Schizosaccharomyces pombe: one gene and its partners. The gene in region 2 interacts genetically with the main gene of each other region. Each region holds a gene or a part of one and is shown on either strand. Other genes may lie near its edges.

Evidence for each region.
Region 1: of clr6 (region 2) and tra1, changing one suppresses a phenotype caused by changing the other (phenotypic suppression), as found in Schizosaccharomyces pombe (one study listed by BioGRID).
Region 3: of clr6 (region 2) and moa1, changing one suppresses a phenotype caused by changing the other (phenotypic suppression), as found in Schizosaccharomyces pombe (one study listed by BioGRID).

What each region holds. Positions count from the first base shown.
Region 1 is NC_003423.3:1,902,419-1,909,487, forward strand, and holds the start of tra1 (SAGA complex, phosphatidylinositol pseudokinase subunit Tra1), read right to left. Parts: upstream 3,001-7,069; coding exon 1-3,000. Other genes in the region: ubiquitin-conjugating enzyme Ubc7, read left to right, coding at 3,381-3,569, 3,966-4,023, 4,073-4,326; ribosome biogenesis protein Yar1, read right to left, coding at 4,814-5,254; ribosome biogenesis protein Nop8, read left to right, coding at 5,714-7,069. UniProt on the Schizosaccharomyces pombe protein: Essential scaffold subunit of the transcription coactivator SAGA complex. SAGA acts as a general cofactor required for essentially all RNA polymerase II transcription.
Region 2 is NC_003423.3:844,725-853,417, forward strand, and holds clr6 (class 1 histone deacetylase Clr6), read right to left. Parts: upstream 6,753-8,693; 5' UTR 6,635-6,752; coding exon 6,595-6,634; exon of another isoform or gene 6,553-6,594; coding exon 6,491-6,552; exon of another isoform or gene 6,446-6,490; coding exon 6,395-6,445; exon of another isoform or gene 6,353-6,394; coding exon 6,235-6,352; exon of another isoform or gene 6,192-6,234; coding exon 6,161-6,191; exon of another isoform or gene 6,119-6,160; coding exon 6,075-6,118; exon of another isoform or gene 5,985-6,074; coding exon 5,939-5,984; exon of another isoform or gene 5,884-5,938; coding exon 5,649-5,883; exon of another isoform or gene 5,603-5,648; coding exon 5,510-5,602; exon of another isoform or gene 5,465-5,509; coding exon 5,356-5,464; exon of another isoform or gene 5,312-5,355; coding exon 5,171-5,311; exon of another isoform or gene 5,131-5,170; coding exon 5,022-5,130; exon of another isoform or gene 4,980-5,021; intron 4,975-4,979; coding exon 4,916-4,974; intron 4,865-4,915; coding exon 4,785-4,864; 3' UTR 4,621-4,784; downstream 1-4,620. Other genes in the region: mfs3 (spermidine family transporter), read right to left, coding at 1-400; cys11 (cysteine synthase), read left to right, coding at 3,261-3,393, 3,539-4,461; spo9 (ER farnesyl pyrophosphate synthetase Erg20), read right to left, coding at 7,301-7,882, 7,923-8,123, 8,192-8,329, 8,379-8,513. UniProt on the Schizosaccharomyces pombe protein: Responsible for the deacetylation of lysine residues on the N-terminal part of the core histones (H2A, H2B, H3 and H4).
Region 3 is NC_003424.3:3,728,016-3,732,839, reverse strand, and holds moa1 (meikin), read left to right. Parts: upstream 1-3,805; coding exon 3,806-4,324; downstream 4,325-4,824. Other genes in the region: fub1 (PI31 proteasome inhibitor domain-containing protein), read right to left, coding at 1-397; glutaredoxin Grx2, read right to left, coding at 859-947, 1,032-1,100, 1,148-1,168, 1,416-1,569; NatA N-acetyltransferase complex catalytic subunit Naa10, read right to left, coding at 1,849-1,936, 2,140-2,196, 2,244-2,346, 2,662-2,856, 2,943-3,033; retromer complex subunit Vps29, read right to left, coding at 4,736-4,824. UniProt on the Schizosaccharomyces pombe protein: Plays an important role in chromosome segregation during meiosis I by allowing meiotic rec8 to establish cohesion at the centromeric central core and thereby promote the side-by-side structure of kinetochores at meiosis I.

The sequences.
Region 1 (7,069 bases), 1.1 Mb from region 2:
AATAGATCTTTGCAGATAATAAGATTCATCTTTGTCAGGGCACAACCTACCATTAGAGACTTGCTGTAAGTTTTTATCCATGCGATCTACAACTGCTCGGCACATTGTATCAATAGATTCCCAAAAGTCTTCATCGGGCTTCGCAGACGCAAAGAGTAATAAATACGAATTCTTGACCATTTGAAATGCTTGCTTCTTTTCTTCTAAATCGGAATTTTGATTGTTTAAAACAGCACATGAAGACATTAAAAATTTGGAGTGCTCTAAGCTAAAATTCTGAGAGGAGCCTTGGAAAGAAAACTGGATTGAAGGAAAAATATTTTCATCTTGCAAAAAATCAAAGCCAAAGGTACCAAGATATATTTGTCTATTTCGACCACCCATTTTTCCTAATATTCTCACAGCACTTTGATGCAATTGATTATTGGATTGATTAAGGCGTGAATGATTCCACAGGCATATCAGCAAATCCGGCATAATTGAGTCCAATAAAGGATCCAAAAATTCTTGAGTAAGATTATCCAAGCAAAGTTCAAATATTCGAAGCCCTTGACTAGCTATTTCAGGGGGGCCTTTTAATGCAACAATCAATGGCTTCATTAAAAAATTCATATGAGGCAACAACACACTGAGTCTAATGGGTAAAGTCAAACAAAGTTCCGCATACAGCTCTTTTTGGGATGTAGACGTAACAGTAAAAATCAATCTGTTGAAACATTCTAGCATTACTTGGAGAAGTGGTAGTATTTCCTTGTAAAGAGAATCAAATTTTCCTCCACTGATATTTCTAAACAAAGCTTTCATTAAATAAACGTAATTTAAAGGTTCAACAGCATCAGTAGTCAATTCGAGGCTAGTTGAAATGATATAGGATATATGGGGACGCAGGACTTCTGCATTTTTTTCGGGAAAAACATTCACAGTCATAAAGGCCAACTTGAATAATCGCAATAAAACAGAAACCCGAGTGGATTGGCCAGACCCTATTTTAGCTAGATTGTCACAGCAAAAAGACAGCACGATGCCCGTGCAGTTGACAGAAGTAACTTCATTAGACATCCAAAATTGGAAAATATGCAATAAAGCAAGATTATCTACTAGACACTCAAATATATTCGGAAACTCGGATTCCAAAATTTCGACGAAAACAGATGGGTCCAAGTGTAAAAATAAAGTTGCTAACATTTCTAAGAGCTCCTTCTCTTCTAAGAGTTTAGAAGGGTTTGTGGTCAACGAAGAATCAAGTTGAGAGTATGCAAGATTTTTCGAGGACTTGAATACACCGGTTTTTTCATCTGTCTGGTAATAACTGAATCCCTTTAAACTTTCCACAAGTAATCTTCGAAACAGTAAAACTTCATTAGTTGAACTAAGATGTAACTTTTCAGACCATTCCTGAGCTGTAAAAATGGAACCGTTGGCAAGAGGAATATTTCGTTGCTTTAGTCCAAACAAAACAGGCTTAATACCTAATAAGGTGTTTTTAAAAAGAAATATGCAATCTTTTAGCTTATCCAAACCTGAAGGTTGGGCAGCTCCAGTAGGGTTCTCAAACATAGGAAGATCATGTTTATTTTCTTCTATTTTAATTTGCTTTAAGTCAGCATTTTCCTGTAAAGAATCTCTCAGCTTCATAAACTCGAAATTCAGAGAAGTCAATTTTCTTAAGAGACATAAAAGTATAGCAAATAGAAGTGATCGGCTAGTGGAAAAATCTTCTAGTGCAACAATTCTTTCAACCAAGTTTAAAATAAGCTTTGTAGCCATTGCCTGAATAGCTGAAGTATAAAAGTCGTCCATCAAAATACTGAAATAAAGAAGTATGACTTTGTAAATTTGTTGTGGACTTAATTCCATACGCACATAATGAAGCATATCTGCCAGCATGCTAAAAGCCATGGGTCGTAATGAATGCTGAGAAGTGATTCCAGAACCAACTAGAATTTTGGTATCAAGTAGTTGATCTACATACGGTAGAAACCCTCTCAAATAATCCGTCGATAAGACGTGCCTTGTAGCTACCAAAAGTTCTCTTCGAGTCTGATATAATTCGGAAGGACAGTCCATGAACAATTGCAAGGTACATATTGGGATCGAGCTTTCAAACTGTTTAAGAGCAGCACCAAAACTTCTCAATAAATAGGCGAGAAAAGAGAATGATTTAATTTGCGCAGAAATAAGGTCATTGTAAAGATGATTTCGACGCAAAGAAGGGACTACACCAATAAAAACCTCTTTTTGAGATTCTGCAAGTCGACGAGCTTCGGCTTGAGGTGGAGGACGAAGTGAGATAAATTGAAGTACAAGCGGAGCAAGTAAAGGAAGCATTTTCGGAATAAGATCTTTGTATGTTTGAAATAGGAGAAAGACGATAATGGGAAATTCAGCAGTGACCTTGAAACTCGAAGAAGCTTTTGGGATCATTTTTGGACCTGCATGTTCCATTCCAATTTCAGCAGGAGATGCAGAAGATGCAGCAGACATGGGATGAGAGGATGGAGTATTCGGAGCTGATCTAGGTGGGAAAGCTTCTGAAACAACTGTGGTCATGGATTTGTAGTTTTCAACGACAATGGATAAAAATTCCTGAACATGTCCCTTAGCAAGGCTACTGTGGTCCTTAAAAAGAAGGACAACAAGCTTCAATGCCAACACTGCCATCTCTTCATTATCATTAACGACTATACGAAGAAGCACGGCAAAAGTCCGATTAACGAATGCTTCAAAACCTTTATAGGATCCAGATTTCTTGAGCAATTCAAGCAATGCAATGCGTAAACGATGTGTAGCTGCTAACGATGAAAATACAGGACGTTCCTTTTCAAGCAAAGACAACGTGTCCTCCAAAAGAGGAATGAAAGTTTCAAAATTCGTCTTTTCAGTTACCAACACATCATCCAGTGCATCTCGAATTTCAATTGCTGTGTTTGCCTTTTGCTTCGAGTCTAATCCAACATCACAAAGCCGATTATGCCAATGTTCGCATTGTGATACATCCATCAGATGCTTGGATCTCTGCGCAAGCTCTTTTTTAAATTCCAATTGCACTCGGATACGTTTTCCTAAGTATTTAACAATTACTATTGGAATGTTGTGGGATAGAGCAAGCTGCATTTCTTTCCTCTAAATCACTTTATGAATTTTACATGTTTTCGCTATTTTAATTAACGGCCTTATTATTTTGTGCGGTAGAAGTTGCTAAAATGATGAACGAGATAAAAATAGCGAGTGATACCACAAAAGTTCGTTTAGCCTCAGCTGCATAATTTGTCGTAAACAAACCATTCATTCATTAATCTGTTCATTACCATTTTTAGGCTACCTTTTAGTCAGTGATCTTTAATATATCTTACCGATTAGTAAGTTAATTGATTTCCAAAATGAGTAAAGCTATGGCGTTGCGACGGTTAATGAAGGAGTATAAGGAGTTAACGGAGAATGGGCCTGATGGTATTACTGCAGGTCCATCGAATGAGGATGATTTCTTTACTTGGGATTGCCTAATTCAAGGCCCTGATGGAACTCCATTTGAAGGTGGGTTATACCCTGCTACCTTGAAATTTCCTTCCGTAAGTCCTTTACTATAAACCTGATGGAGACTGAACATGTGATTTAAGTTGTGGATAAGTATGATGTTTCGCATGTTTTATGTATCAACTACTTATTAAAAAATACGCGCTCTTTTTCATAAATTAACATTTGTTCAGCGTAAATAAAGAAAGTAACTCAATAATCCATTCGTTTAGAATGATCATTTAAGAGAAGTGCTTTTATTCATTAGTAATTGATGAATCCTTCGATTTATTGATGAGTAGGAAGAAATTTTATTTAAAAGATCTATCTAAGTTTTTTTTTGGGGGTTTGGTTTCTTTCTTTGAATCGCATGGCAGTACATCCGGGGTGTTCAAGCGCACGTTGATACGTGCTTAGTTTTATTTTTATTGGATTCTAACTTTTTTATGTAGGATTATCCTCTTGGCCCCCCTACTTTAAAGTTTGAGTGTGAATTTTTCCATCCAAATGGTATGCCAGATACTATTAATCCAAATTTCGAGACTAACCTTCATTTCAGTTTACAAAGATGGGACGGTTTGCATTTCCATCCTACATGCACCTGGTGACGATCCAAATATGTATGAGTCGTCTTCAGAACGTTGGTCTCCTGTTCAATCTGTTGAAAAAATACTGTTATCGGTAATGTCGATGTTGGCGGAACCAAACGATGAAAGTGGTGCTAACATCGATGCGTGCAAGATGTGGAGAGAAGATCGAGAAGAATATTGTCGTGTAGTTCGACGATTGGCTCGTAAAACCTTGGGATTATAACCATGAATTGTATATTTGATTAGATTGCCATGAATAACGAACCTGATAAAATCTAGAAATAAAGTTTTGTTCCATTTTTGAACGCAACCGGTAGGCTTTTCTCTTTCTATTCCAACGTATAACGCTACATAGGTTTAATTACAAGGTTTAAACAAAAATGAAAGCACTTTTCCAATTCAATTTCTATCTGTAAATGATGGAAGATAAACATTTTGTCTATTGAGATAATCCATCTTTTAATAAACATCACTTGAACTTTCTACACAGATACATGGCAACGTACATCGCTGAAAACGAATTATATTGAGAAAACATCTAGAAATTACACAGTAAAAAACTTAACAAAATATAAGAATAACCCCAAATTATGCTCCAAAAGAAAAAAAAAATGCATCAGGTGCATAAAAATATTAGCTTCCCACAACCTACAAAAGAAAGAGGTAAATTTTTTTACAAAATAAAAATCAGAAATTATCAAATAAAACGATCATATTCCATCTTCCAATTTTTCTTCATCACCAGTGTTTTCTTCACTACCTTTAGCAATCTCAAAATCCAGAAAAAGGTCCATTACTTTTTGCTGATTTCGAATATCAGCTTCATATATAGGTGACTTCTCATAAATATTCTTAATATGAGGATCACCTCCCGCTTCCAGTAGTAATTTGCAAATTTCAGCATGTCCATTCAGTGCTGCCCAATGCATTGCGGTGTTTCCACTCTCATTCTGAGCATTTATTACTTCTTTATTCAAGTACGGGATTATTTTTTGAACAACAGCGATGTGTCCATTAGCACTAGCCATATGAAGTCCAGAGTTACCATTTTCATCACGACGACTTAATTCTTGTGGACATTTCTCTATAATCTCATCTAGTAACTCCTCATCCGCAGCTCTACAAGCGTAAATTAAATCATCAACATCCATATTAAACTATCCAATCCAGTAAAGAAGGATGTTTTACCGGTTTATTTGGAAAGAGAATGATGTGAAAACTGTTCGTTTGTTAGTGTAAGGTAGCCGCGGCTTCTCCAACTTGGCTTCGGCAAGGCCGTGGTTACTTACTACACCACAAATTCCATTGCAATTTTATATAATTATTCAACGAGAACCTGCCTTCTACAGCAGGTTAATTTTTGATTTATAAGAAGGAGAAAAAGAAGTTACAGGAGTGTTTATTTCCGAAAGTCATAGAGATTTAAACCAGTATATATGCTTTCCTTGTAAAAAATTTCATTGCTCACACAGCTCTCGATTCCTCATCTAAATAGCTATCTGGTAGCGATTGGTAGACTATTTTTTCGGGTTTATTTCCCATTATATTTCAGACACTCTTTTTGACCTGCGAAACTTTTTGTCCTCATTTTGTATCAATTGACTTCAATAATGGAGTTAGAAAAACGGATTTATGTTGGTGGCCTTTCATCCTCTATTGAATCTTCAGATTTGGAATCCAGATTTTCTCGTTTTGGAAGTGTTTCAAATCTTGAAATTATAAACAAATCTACTCCAGTAGGAACTATACAACGATTTGCATACTTGAATTTTCGAACAGATGAAGATAAATGGCAGAAATGCAAGTCTTACTTATCAAATGCGACGTTTAAAGGAAGTAAACTTCGTATAGAGGAAGCTCGCCCTTATTATTTAGTAAAATTGCAGCAGGAAAAAAAAATTGCTGATCTTCAAAGTACTAATAATGATGAGAAAAATGAAGATCACTCCAGCAAAGTTGATCTGGAAGACCCAGTCTTTCATGGAGAAATAATTGTTCCCGGAAAACATAGTAAAAATATGCAGGTGGTCACGGATTCTGATGTTCGGAAGGATCCTCCTAGAAAAGGTTGGAAAAAAGGCCCCTATGGAAGGGCCATTGTCGTGCTTCGAATGTATAATAAAAATACTAAGAAAACGAGGTTTTTTTATCCGCTGGGTAAAAACTGCTTACAAAAACTATGGGGCCGAGTGGAAACGAATATGGACAATACTACAGCTTTTTATGATTCTGATCATGATGAGTATGTATCATATGGGGGTAAGAGAGCTTCTCGTGACAAAATACGTATGCAAGCAAAATTGGGTATCAAAGCTTCTACTCAGAAGGATGATAACGATTTTGAACTTCTTAATAACACAACTGGGGAGATTGAAGTCACAAAAGAATTAAACGAAGAGCAATTGGATGCTTTGCGAAAAAAAGATAAGGATACGGCTGCATCTGTGTTAGCTGAACTGTTTGGTTCTGAAAATACAGAAGAAATTGATACCGTATCTAAAACTTCAGGTGTTTTGGAACTGGACAATGATTCGACTAATAATTTCCAAAAAGAAGGTTTGGATGAACAAGATAATTTACAAAAGGAAGAGTCCGTACACATAGATGTTCCTGCTGAATTTGAAGCATTTGATGAGCGTACTGCTGTTGTTAACGTTGACAATTTAAAAGAAATGTTTTCTTCCAATGCGCAGGATACGTCTAAGTTTTCTCTTTTTGGCAATGAAAATGGAGTTGGTGAGGAAAGTGAAATGGAAAGTGAGATTGATGACCGTAATTACGAAACTATGGAAGAAGAGGCAGATGGGGAAACTCCGCTAGCTATAGTTAAAGCCTCATCGGGTACCAAGGGTTGGCCAAAAATGTTTACTCTACCCAATCCTTCTTCCCTATTCCAACCAGGTAATGAAGATTATACGAGCAGAGAAGCTCTTGAATCCTGGTGGTCGGAAAATCGTCTATTCTTA
Region 2 (8,693 bases):
CCGTAAGACCGATATGATACTTGGCTGCGAAGATGGTAGCAGCTGCGGAAAAAACTGAGGAACCCCAAGATGCAGTTAGTGTAGTAAACGCCAGTAGAGCGACATGCAATATTTTAACATGTGTAGGCCAATTGACAGCCAACCTAGGATCTGAGGGTTCAAGAGACACATAGAACCTTTCCGGATTTGTGATGTATGGAAAGCCACCAGGGCCTTCCTCTATTAATAACTGTTGCTTTTCCAAGTCAGCTGATTGGTATTGCTCGGCAGGAAAACCTTCGTCTGCCACGGCGGGATCGGTGTGCTCAGAAGTTGAATCAGTAGAAGATGCATGCTGGGCGTTTGCCTTTTCCTCAGAATTTGATGAGTCAGAAGAGGTAGAAGAATTATTGTTATACATTTTGATAAGTTTAAAAGACGAAGATGAGACCGTTCGTCAAAACGGATGGAAGAATCAATCAGCAATCTAGCAAAGGGGAAAACGAGTAGGAAAAAAGGAAAAAATAAAAGAAAGAAAGAAAACGGGTAAAGAAAGATTCTTCAAGATAAGAAATAAATATTAAACAGTTGTTTTTTGGGTGTTTAAATGAAGAATATCCCTTCCTCAATATTTGTTTAAAGGAAAAGAGGTCAATTTCGCTACCGGAAATTTAACGAAACTTAAAAGACGCTACAACTCAACTTTAATCTATTGCGAGGTTTTTGGTGTTCTAAGTAGGCGAGCGACTTTAAACATATGCTTTCCAGCAAGTACTAGTCGACACTACACGTTTTCCAGATTAGATAAGTTTAACAATGGGATAGCCCACAATACCCAGGAATGTTAAGTAAAACGTCTGTTGAGAGTGTAGAAATCCATCTTGTTTTAAACACTTTCAAGGAACTTAACTCGGACCGAAAAAAGATCCGTCTCCATCTATATCTGGTGGCAGTCTTTCCACTTATACCTGTGAATTAAGATGTTGTTGGTTGTTCATTAAATCTGCATTGGGAGTCTATTTCGGAATGCGAAAAGATTCTTTTTATGCAGTTTCGGATCTAAAATGGAAAATATAGATAAAACAAGGATGCGCTAAAGATCGTTACACTATTACCTTATTATGATGCAACACTCGAATGCGCTTTTGGATCGCATTCCGCCATGCAACATAGTGGGTTATCTCTTTAATGGATGCCGGAAAGTAAACAAAAAAAAAAGAATCGAAGGAAGAGAGAGGTATGAATAATAGAAGTGCTTTCTCAAACAGTTGTTTTGCAAAAGAAAGAAAGAAAATCTCTGTTTTTTTTTTTGTGGGGAGTGGAAAGTAAAAGGTTATCCTGTTTATCATTTTGCTAATTTTTGTTTTGCGTTTCATTTTGTTTATCGTTTTGATTATTTATTCATTATATTTTTATTTTTATTTTTTCTTTCCGTCTATTTTGATATTAATGGCTAATAACCCTTGTTTATCCTTATTTTCTTTACTTTTCCCGTTAATATAGATTCTTTTTTCTCTCTAGACAAAATAACACACCCGTCTTATAAGGGCTACATATTCAAGTTTGTGTTTTCAGCATGCGAGCTGGGATGCGAATCGGTTTTAATTGTAACATGACTACCTGTATTTATATATTGTAACTGGAGGTAAAATAAACATTAATACTTACGTATGCCATGGCTTGCTTTTGCCAGCCCAGTTCGGTTTTTGTATCCAAAAAGCTCGGTTTTGCCGGGGAAAGGGATGGTACGGAAAGTGTTGCTGATGATGTTAAGCGGGTGAATATTGCTAAAAAGAAGTAATAAATAATAGTGTGTTGAAGTAACTGAAATAAAAAAGGATTGGAGCAGTTAAACTAGCTAAACATTTTCATCTCTTTCTCTAATTCATTTATTCCTTCTTGTGTAAATTTATTATTTATTTTTTGCAACTCTTATATTGCACTAGATTTCATTCGAGTTCGTAAAGTTAGAATTACAAATACACAAAAACGCAAAGGTGTAAGCTACGCAGTTTGGTATCTGATTTAAGGATACGTAGAACTGCGGTGAGTTTTCCTTGTGGTCTATTTATATTACAATACACAGGTTGTATAAGTAGCAACTGAGTATAGGTATTGTATTAACTGGGTTATAATGTTACCTATCACTAATATAGCTCATAACTGAACCTCGTTCCTCAGTTCAGTGGTAGCTCTATTTATAGTATTCAGATAATATAGATCTTAATAGATTATCATCAAGATTAATCTCCATATCGTATCATACATGGTACGATATATAATTAGAACATATGACATATAGTGATACGCAACGTAGTGTATCATAGCGTAGTGTAGTATTGCTGACAAAAGGCAATAAATTACGAGATATAGCGGATAATTTTTTTTCATCTGTGAATTTCGCTATTATAAGTTTTCATTATGAAATCAAAAGATCATGACAACAACACTTGTCATATAACAAACAATTTTTAAAAAATAATAGTTTTATAATATACAAATAAACGCTTTCAATAGTTATTCCGTAAAAAATTTATTGGAAACCTCCAATGTTCTCTTACTTTGCTTTCTTTATACGCAACGACAATCAAGGAGTTACTGAAATGTGATTTTCTTGTTAATAGACTAGAAATCAATCAAACAGCAAGCGTTCAAACGAGTAGCCATTGTGTCGATATAGTCGAACATAGCCGTACAATTTTTAATATTAGTAGGAATAAAATGCTTGAGGAAAAAAATTTGACAACGCAATAGAAAAAAAAAAAAAAATAAAAAAATAAAAAAAAGTAAAAAAATAAAAAAAAGTAAAAAAAAAAAAAATAATAAAAAAAATTAAAAGAGTAAAAATTAATAAACGTAAAAATAAAATAAATAAAAATTAACCAATTAATAAATATTATAAACGTAAAAACCTTTCTCAAATAATAACCCTTATAATACGCTATTCATTCTATGTCCTTTTCACCTCCATCCCCATCTTTGCATTCCTCGTTACAATTACTTAAACACATTTAACAATATCACATCCGTACATCCCATTAAAGACATTGATAAAGAATTTTAACAATGGACGCCTTATCGTACGACTTTCTGTAGTTTTAAATTCTTCATTAAAGTAAAGAATTGCGAATTCCACTATTTGCCGGTGTTTGAATTCCGCGTGACGATCGCGTCATCTTCTTCATAAATATCACCTATCCTACTACAGTGCTCTTTGCCTTCGCCCAAGTGTTTAGAGGAAATTACTGTGATATACAGTAATTCGCAGTTAGTACTACAACATGGCTACTAGCGGTATTCAAACGAAGGTTCCAGGAATCGTTAGCGGATTCATTGGGGCAATTGGTCGTACTCCTTTAATTAGACTGAATACGCTGTCGAACGAGACGGGATGCAATATCCTTGCCAAAGCTGGTATGTTTTTGATATAGGGCGTTGTTTAATGGGTCTCGTTTTGCTAAACAATTTTGAAACGTCGAGGTTTCTCAATTGAATGGCAATCCTATACCTTTATTTCTTTTTAATTGCTTTCATGTATACTAATTGCAAATTTTTTAAGAATTCCAAAATCCCGGAGGAAGCGTCAAGGATAGAGCTGCTTACTACGTGGTACGCGATGCCGAGAAAAAAGGAAAACTCTCTAGAGGTGGCACAATTGTCGAGGGGACTGCCGGTAACACTGGTATTGGTCTTGCTCACATTGCTAGAGCAAGAGGTTATAAATGCGTGATTTACATGCCAAATACCCAATCTCAAGCTAAAATCGATACCCTTAAGTTTTTGGGTGCCGAGGTTCATCCCGTACCTGTTGCTCCCTTTTCCAACCCTCTCAATTATAACCATCAGGCCCGTCGTCACGCTGAGTCTACTCCGAATGCTTCTTGGACTGATCAGTTCGATAACGTCGCTAACTTACTGTCTCACTACGAAACCACTGGTCCTGAAATTTGGGATCAAACCAAAGGTACCGTTGACGGCTTTACCTGCTCTACTGGTACTGGTGGTACTTTTGCCGGCGTTACCAAGTATTTGAAGGAGAAGTCCGACGGTCGTGTTGCTTCTTTCGTGGCTGATCCCCCTGGAAGTGTTTTGTATAGCCATATCAAAACGAAGGGTAAGCATCCTGACAACAAGGGTTCTTCATTTACCGAAGGCATTGGTCAAGGTCGTATTACTGGAAATGTCCAACCTGTTTACGATCTCATTGACGATGCTATGAAAATCCCTGACGAAAAATCTATTAACATGTTCTTTCGTTTGTTAGACCAAGAAGGTCTTTTCTTGGGCGGCTCTTCTTGCTTAAATGTGGTCGCTGCTGTTGAAATGGCTAAAATATTAGGTCCTGGCAAGACGGTGGTTACAATTCTTTGTGATTCTGGTCACAAGTATGCCACTCGTTTATTCAGTCGCTCATTCCTTGAAAGTAAAAAATTATTTGATGTAATTGAGCCACAATACAAGAAGTATATTGTACTTCCTTAATTGTTTTGACCTTTTACTTCGGATAGACATATAATTACTACTACCTTGTGATTTCCGTTTCTTCTTTCTTTGTGCGTTAATTTTTTGGCTATTCCTTTTTTTTTAAAACCACAAGTCACATCTAGAGTATAGAATATAAAGTGTTTGTTATTATATGTAATGAGCATTTTCAATTTAATGCTGAAGTCTAATTATGCTGGAGAATTCTTATAAATAAGGGTATTTAAACATAATAGCTTTTATAGTATTCATGATTCAAATAACACAAAAAAACCGAGTATAATGGATTCAAACACCATGAACATACAAAATTTTATATAGGTCTATACGCGCTCATCCATAATCTCTTCTTTCGCAATGTTCTGCTTTTCGGCATTTTCAAACGTAAAGTCACCGGGAGTTTCTAATGTAAGAGTATTTGTTAGCACATTTTTCGATAACCGCTTATACTTACTATGCATTTGAACGCTAGGTGCAAAAGATAAGTTTCTCAAATTTTCGATGATTTCAGAGCTAAATTTGGTCAGCCTCGTAAGAATAAAACTCAAAAGGTAGCATACGTTATCGAATCAAGATACTGCCGAGTGTTATGGTTTTCCATATTGTTTGAAAGAACATTGAGCTTGTAATCGGGACCGTAATATTGTAAATAGTCATTATAAGGAAGGTCTTGGATGGGTTAATAAACAATTTACGTATTGGTACTTACTTTCATCAAGCTCTTCGCCGGCTAAAAGACCAGTTTCATAAGTCCAGACACGGGCAACATTCCGTACAGTATATCCACCTCCTCCAACGCATATCATTGGCAAATTAAAGCTCTTAACAAAATCAACGCACATTGAATGTCCTGTTGAGGGGAATTAGTAAAAACGAGAAACAGTAGTTACTTACCCTTCATTGACAGATTGAAGCAGCCTAGTCGATCACCAGCGAGAGAATCTGTTCCACATTGTAAAATAACAGCTTCCGGTCGAAACCATTGCATTATGTGACTTATAACCTAATTCAGATTGTTAGAACAAAGAAATTTATAAAAAAGACTTACAGGCTTAAATACGCTTTCATAAGATTCATCGTCAATACCATCTCTCAAAGGAACGTTAACAGCATAGTTTTTTCCTGTTCCAATTCCGGTGTCCTAAAATATTAGAAAAGTAAATCCAAATATAAAGCCGCATGCATACCTTGATATGACCGGTTCCTGGAAAATATTCACCGAATTTGTGGAATGAACAAGTCATAACGCGATCCGTAGTGTAGAAAAATTCTTCTACACCGTCTCCGTGGTGAACATCAATATCAATGTAAAGAACACGTTGATGATATTTCAGCAATTCTAAAGCAGCCAACGCGATATCATTAACATAGCAGAAACCAGAAGCTTCACGTTTTTTAGCGTGATGTAGGCCTCCAGCCCAACTTAATTAAGTGGTTAGTTGATCTTCAAAGTACTAAAAAATCCTCAATAACATACTTAATAGCAATTTCTGCGTTTCCCGAGTTAAGTTCTTGAGCAGCACCTAAACCAATGTTAGTTAAAGTCCTATACTCCATTCACAAATTCAGCGGATGCTTCAAAGCCCCTTTTTTGGGAAAAACTTTTATCTTACCAATTGAACCGCCAGCAGAAATTGAACAAAATTCGTACAGCCCACTAAACAATTGTTAGTATAAAAAATTTGATAAACGCACATACTCAAAAACAGGACAATCATCACCGACGTTAACTAAAATCACGGTTATTTATAAATAATCGAAATGAAATCTTACATTTCAGCTGATGCGGTTGAAATTTTTCCATCGTGTCAGGTGTAACTCTCCAAAGAAATTCAATATACTCATCGGTATGACAACGAGTCATGTCATTCCTTGTTGCTCTAACAGGTGTCTTGTATACTTTATTAGTATAAAAAGGAGAAATAGAACTTACAATAACGTTCAACTTCTCATACAAGTTGTAATTAACGACCAGATTATGAACCTAAGTAGGTTAATGATGATAAATAGTTATAGCTTTATATCATACCATGCGAACGCGATGAGGCTTCATTGGATGCTGAGGACCATAGTGATAATTTCCAACATCCTCTATTTCAAAAATTAGCTAGGATCTTACTAGTTTACACGTACCATCATAGAAATAAGAAACCTTTTTCTTCCCGAACCCCATAGTTTCAAATAGGATTTTCTTTCCCAATTATTTAATAAGGCAAACAGTTTCCTTATGTTATCAATTAAAAATGTTAGGTTCGGAGCGCTTTCGCGTAGAATTGTTGCTATGATGGAGTGGTCAGAAGCTGAAGCAGCAGCCTGGTTCTATTGAATATTTCTCCCATCCACGAACTAGTGTTTCAAGATCTTAAATAAGTAACGATTAATTGTTCAATTTAAGTAAAATACTGTTATAACAAAAAGGACTAACCTTGGAATGTCTATTAAAATGTGCTGTATGTTTTTTTCAGTGACAGTTTTTGCATTTTCTCAAATGAGCAATATAATAATTCTTTCATAACCAATCCAATTAACAACGATCGTCAATGTCATTTGATGTTATTATTATACTACTCACCAAATGTTTACATCTACATAATCTAAATCTTGCTTAGTTTCCCAAGTAGAGTAATGTATCAACCAGATAATCATTAAAAAAGTAAATTCTGAATGCAGATCTTTAACAATAATGAAAAAAACCATAAATGCTATAATGATATGAAACCTTAAGAATAACCCTAAATACAAATCGTCGATCAGTATCATAAAGAATTTGGAAGGTCATCAAATAATAAATTTTAAATAAGGAAGAAGATAATAACGGTTATTTAAAATGAAATGACTGCTACCGTGACCTTTTGTAAATGAGCTGAAAAAACTTAGTAAATATACACTTTTTCAATCCAGTAGATTCATCAATCAAATCAATTTCTTTGGATATAGAATCCACCATGTCATCTTCAAATTTGTGATATAATTCAGGTATTTGAAGCTCATGATAAAGCTGCTTTATTACAGCTATGTTTTCAGACCCTGCTTTTCCATAATGAGCACGAAGAAGATTCAGCTGATCCGCAGAGGCAAATTTTTCAGCATAACAAACTAGCCATGTGCATTTATTGTCTTGTATGTCCATTCCCACTTTACCCAAAACCGTGTAATCACCGAAACAATCTAAGTAGTCATCTTGGACTTGGAAATAATAACCAAGAAGTTTTGAAAGCTTTATAGTCGTATCATACGCCTTTTGATTCGAATTGCGAGACAACAATAAAGCACATTTAATAGGAAGGTAAAAGGAATAAAATGATGTTTTATAAGTGATAATAAAGTCATATTTCATTAAATCAAAAGATCGTAACGAGGCTTCTCCGTCTCGTGATGAAAGCAAATCTTCTTGTTGCCCCAACTCGGTGAGAAAAGTAACCTTGAAAGTAAGCTTTTTAGTTGAATTTATTGTAACATACCTCTCGGAAAGTATCCAATAAATCGACATAGTATGGCATATTTCTGAAATACTTTCGAATTAAAAGTGGAATACATGCTTCTAGTAATTGTGACTCATTAATTGCCCTTCGTACACCAACTACCAAATACCAACAATCTAAACCACGTCGTTTGATAGACTGATCCATAATATCATCTGCCATTAAAAAGCAACCTTGCAACTGAACATCCGTCAGTACCCCAGTGATTTTACGTAAACAAATCTGAATTAAAAAACCAGTTTACTTACAATTTCAATTAGCCAACCTAGGAGAGCAGCGTCGCGAAATTCTGCTTCTTCAAGTTCTCGATTAATAAGGCTTGTTAAAGATTGCAAAACTGCCAGTCCTCGATTATTCTTTCCTCCTAACGTATTTCTCTTTATGGACTAAATGAAGGTTAGCTGTCGCGTTATAAAGGCAAGATAATCAACTTACATATAACAGCTTCTCGGTTTCTTCGGGGAAGTATTGCATGCTTTCTAAGATTTCACGAATTCCTTCGAGAACGACTGGGAAGAAATCTAGAAGTCTTTTCTTAATGCCATTTTTTTCATTAAAATCGTTGACCATTTTAGTATTTTTAATTGTACATGTATAAGAACCAGCTTGGTATAAGACTGAGAACTAGCACAGGTCTTCTATGAGAAAATATTATTTAAAATGACAAATAACCACAATTCTTGAATATAAAATTTGCAAATTACGCGTGAAAGCGCGTTACAAATTTATCTCGTTTTTAAGAATCAAGTA
Region 3 (4,824 bases), on a different chromosome or scaffold from region 2:
AATTTAACTCATTAGCCGAGGTATCTTTAGCGGTACGTGCAGCATGTTCAGCAAGCCGATTATCTGTATCAACTGGACAAACCTCTGCAACTAAAGATTCCAAATTCCAAGGCTGATCATCATCTAAACGGAAAATCCTTGTAGCTGTGATATTTGATGAAGTATTAGCACACAAAATATAAATCCATTTATTCCAAAATATTAAACGAGTAGAAACATTCTGAGACTCATTTACAATGTAGTTGAATTCACTGTCTTCAGTTAAGCTTTCAGTGACTTCTTGCAAAACATCTCCGTTTCGTAATTTACAGTTTTTAAATATCGCCCCAGTGTTTAGCATGGATTTATGGCATTTTTGTTGGAAGCGTAAACGATCGTCGGAAGTCGGGTTATTCATGATCAGTGAAAAATAATATAAATAAATATATACGAAAAACCAATTGTATTACTTGGGTTCAGTGAACAAAGGAAAAGTACATCACTTTGTACGTACTGTGTGTGTGTCTTCGTGAGGTCGCTTCTGTTGTGTCATTTATATTACCAAGTGGCAATCAATGCATGGCGACTACTAGAGGTGATGAGATTGAAGTCAAATGATTTCACTATTAAACTTGGTATATAGTAAGTAGAAAAGTAATCTGGCTAAATAACTTTTTCCAAAAAAAAGCACACACTGTGTGTTTTGCAACTGAAGAAAACTTGCTGTTCAAAGTGAGCAGGAAACTAGAAACTGATTGAAGATAAAGATACCTTTAATGTTATAATAGAATTGTTTTGCAACTGCACATTCAGTTCGTTATCTCGTTTCCCTAAAAAATAATATTGTAAAGTCGTTCGCTATATAAATCCTAAAGATAATCATAAAATTGAAGATTTGTTTTCCTTAAGCTCTGCTATCATCTTCGTCAAAGTGCCTGAGCTACGAAGTTTGTTCAAATCGGAATTGCCTTTATATAATGTATTAGTAATAAACAACAGAGAAAAACCAACGAGAATATTAATGGTCAAGGAAAACAAATTTGGGTTCATACCTCCAATGAATTGGTTGCGAAAGAATATGCTGGGTACTGTAGACTGTTTGGTCTTTTCATGTAAATAAGCTGCTCAGGTAAGCATATGATAAAATCAGTTTGTTAACTAAACACACCTTGGATGTCAGATCCATTTTCTAGTGTAACATCAAGTTAGTTAAAAAGGATGAAAAGCAGAACAAAAAACTTGAAATGTTTCGCTATTTCTCAAGATCATGGAAGGAAACAAAAATTTTCGTAGTTTCATTACACAATTATGAGGTTTCGAAAACCCAATTAGACTATTATTTCATATACTTAATTTATGTAGACATAACTCAAGAAACTTTACAATCGATCAACTGAATCTTCAGCTCTTAAACAAATGAAGAATACCATACTTACCTATTTTATCTAACTCATAAGCCTTATACGGAGCAGAGTACTTTGTAAGAGTATTTTTGGCTGCTTTGCAGAAAGGACAGAACGATTTACTAAAGACAGTAACCGGATTGTTTGAGATCGCCTTTTCAACAAAAGCTTTTGCTATAGAAGTCATTTCAGCTTAAATAGGTATTCGTCTAAAAATGCAGTGGATATTGGTGACAAGTAATACAGTATGACTATCGAGGTGTTGGGCTACCTAACACCAAACGACACGATTAGGCAGTTAGATGTGATAAACAAAAACTCGAAATTACAAGAGTTATTTCGAAATATATTTAGTACACCAGTAAGCGAGTACAATCAAATGTTAAATACGCTATCACGAAGTTATAACTGCAGTATCGTACACTACACCCTAATTCACTAATTAGAAATAACGGTATATATTTTATTAGTTGTTCAATGCAAGAGATTGAACGGTTTTTGCTAGTTCGTCGTTGGTTTCTGGTGTATCGAATTTCAAAGTAGAAAAATCTTTGCTAAAAATTGTTAGTAACCTAGATAGTTGTGATGACGTTGAACAGTCATATATTGTCTGAAACAACGTAGGTAATTATACAGAAGTTGACCAAACTAAAGAAAGAACGATTGTCACAAAGATTGTATATAGTTTTTGGAAAGAATACTCATTAAACGATCCATGCAACCATCCCCAACCTAGTTTTTACAACAAAGTACTTACTGCATAGCATAAGCATCTTCACCATCAGCATAATATTTGCTTTCAATCCCTTGAACGCTAAAATAATGTTAGAATCTCTTCAATGATGGCGAGTAAAAACATACTCAAATTGCAAAGTATCACGATAAAGATGAATAGCAGCTCTGTTGCTTTTACGAACATGAAGACTCATATATTTGGCGCCATAAACTTCGACCATGGCTCTTTCTGTTCATTTAAGTAGTTAGTATCTTTTACTTTTTTTAAAAAAATTTTGTTTAAGGAATGGACCGAAAATATCAAGGAATCAGCAGGAAGGAAACATTGTCGAAAACAAATTAGGTAAAAAAAATGAATTGTTGCAAGGAAAAAACCAACTCACCAAATGAACAATTCAAAGTATTAGCAGACCAAGTCTTGCACAAAATAAAATATATACATATTGGAATAATCATCGATAACAACTGCAAAAAAGCTTAAGATTTCCCTCTAGCTCCTCCTTGGATATATCCGTAATCTACTTCGCTCTCAATTAACACTTACGACTTTGAACCATGAGACGTTTAGCAAGTCCTAGATGACGATAGGAGCGCATTACTGAGACACTTGTGATATGACCATGAGGGATCCCATCCTTAGGCTCTTCTTCCATTTTTGCAAGAACATATCCTACGACACGTCCTTTCGGATCAGTAGCAACATAAGAAAGCATAGGCCAAGAAATAGCATGATAAAGGTCTACATTAAATTAGAAAATAAGAATCATTGTTTTAATACTGGAAGTTCATTGCCGTGCAGCAAGAATTACAATGAATTGAACTTACAATATTTTAACTGATAATTTTCAGGCAAGTTATGTAAGTTGCAGTTCTGCATCCCAGTAAGGTCACTTATACGAGCTGGCCGAATATCCATCTTGCCAATCGTTTAATTTTTAGCAATATCTATGATTTTTGTTTGTTAGTGGTTGGAATCAAATTTCCAGCATACCATATTTTAAGAAAGCGCAGTGAATGTAAAACGAAATTCAGGGAATGCAAAGCAACTACTGCAAAGCTTTTAGAAATGATAAGATTCATTTGATGTTAATATTATCTGTCAAGTATTTTAACGTCAAATATTTACTGCTTTGCTAAAAAAACTATGTTTTTTGGAGACTCACAATGTTCGACGTTAAGCTCCTTTTAAGTTACAAGCCGTTTAGTACACATTGCATAACCAAATTTCTAATTACTTAATGTTGCGTTTCCTAAGTTGTTTTGATTTTCAATGCAGATGATGAGAAATCCTTATTATAAATAGACAATGATGTTTACGATGGATTGCACACTTAAAGACATTAAATCAAAACTTTATATTAATTAGCCATTAATTATATAATCTAAGTTAATACTTATAATCACCATAACATATTTTGTTTACTGTGGAATCAAAAAGGATTAGCGATGCTTGATTGAATCCTTTATTATCTTAAAGTCACACTACCTTGGTTTTCCTTTAAAAGTTTTAACAGCAGCCTTGTGGTTTCACTTAGGCTAAGTAAACTCAACGAAAAAACATTAAGATTTGTTATTCGTAAATTCAGCTAGTAGACCTCGAACATTAGGTTTTCCCATTGGTAAAAATGTAAACAAAACCGCATTAATCATATAAAACATTAAGCGAAAAAAAACAATAGATTGCATTTATGGCTATAAATAATGAAAACGAATTAGAGTATAAATTAATAAAAAAAAACAAGAATCCTAAAATATCAAATTCAAAAAAAAAGAATTCGACACGTCCAGCTTTACAAGACAAAACTAATCAAACATTACCAATTCATCAAAATCAAGCCTTTTCAAACATTCTTCCATCTGATTTTTCAATAATTAAGACACCTGAGACAAAAACTGCTGACGATTTCCCCGTAAATGGTTACGAAGGCTTAAACATTTTAAAATTTGATCTCGAGTTATTTTACAAACTTAAACCTGTAGCAACGTCGACCCCGAAGTCTTGCATGAGGACGGGCTCCAATTTATTTTTAAATGAAACTGTTAAACATGTTCCAGATGAACGGTTAGTTTCAAACATCAAGAATACCCAAACAAAGGACTCTATCACAAGAGATTCTGCGTATTATCACAGAAAAACTATGACAGAAAGCATAATCAAAACACTCGCTGCATTTGATGCTGAGGTTGATGAGATTATATTGTTTTAAATCTCTAACTGACACTGGAATATAATCGTACTTTTCAAGTACTAACGCATCTATTTTTCATATGATATATTTATTAAAAAAGATTTACAAACCTGCTTTACAAATCAACCTTGACTACGATTTTATTTATACATATCGATCAGGACAAACGATAGCATGTTCAACAATATTTGACGCGAAAGGCCGACAAAGAAAAGTGGATAAAGTCAGCGCATAAATTTAACCTTCAAACATTTCTTTCATTTTAAAAAAGCAAGTAAGGAAAGCACATACTTTTCGGTAGTCTACATACTCGGTAAATTAAGATACGGATTATGCTATAATAAACAGAAAAACATCTAATTATCATTTAACACTTCTTTACGATGAAAAGACCGCATATTCCGTGGTTCAATCGTATATTTCATGAGATTATTCTGGTTTTCTGTACTGCATTTTTTCAACCCGGACCTCTCCATCAAAAATCCTATAAACATAAAGTATTAAAACTGCTCCTTGAA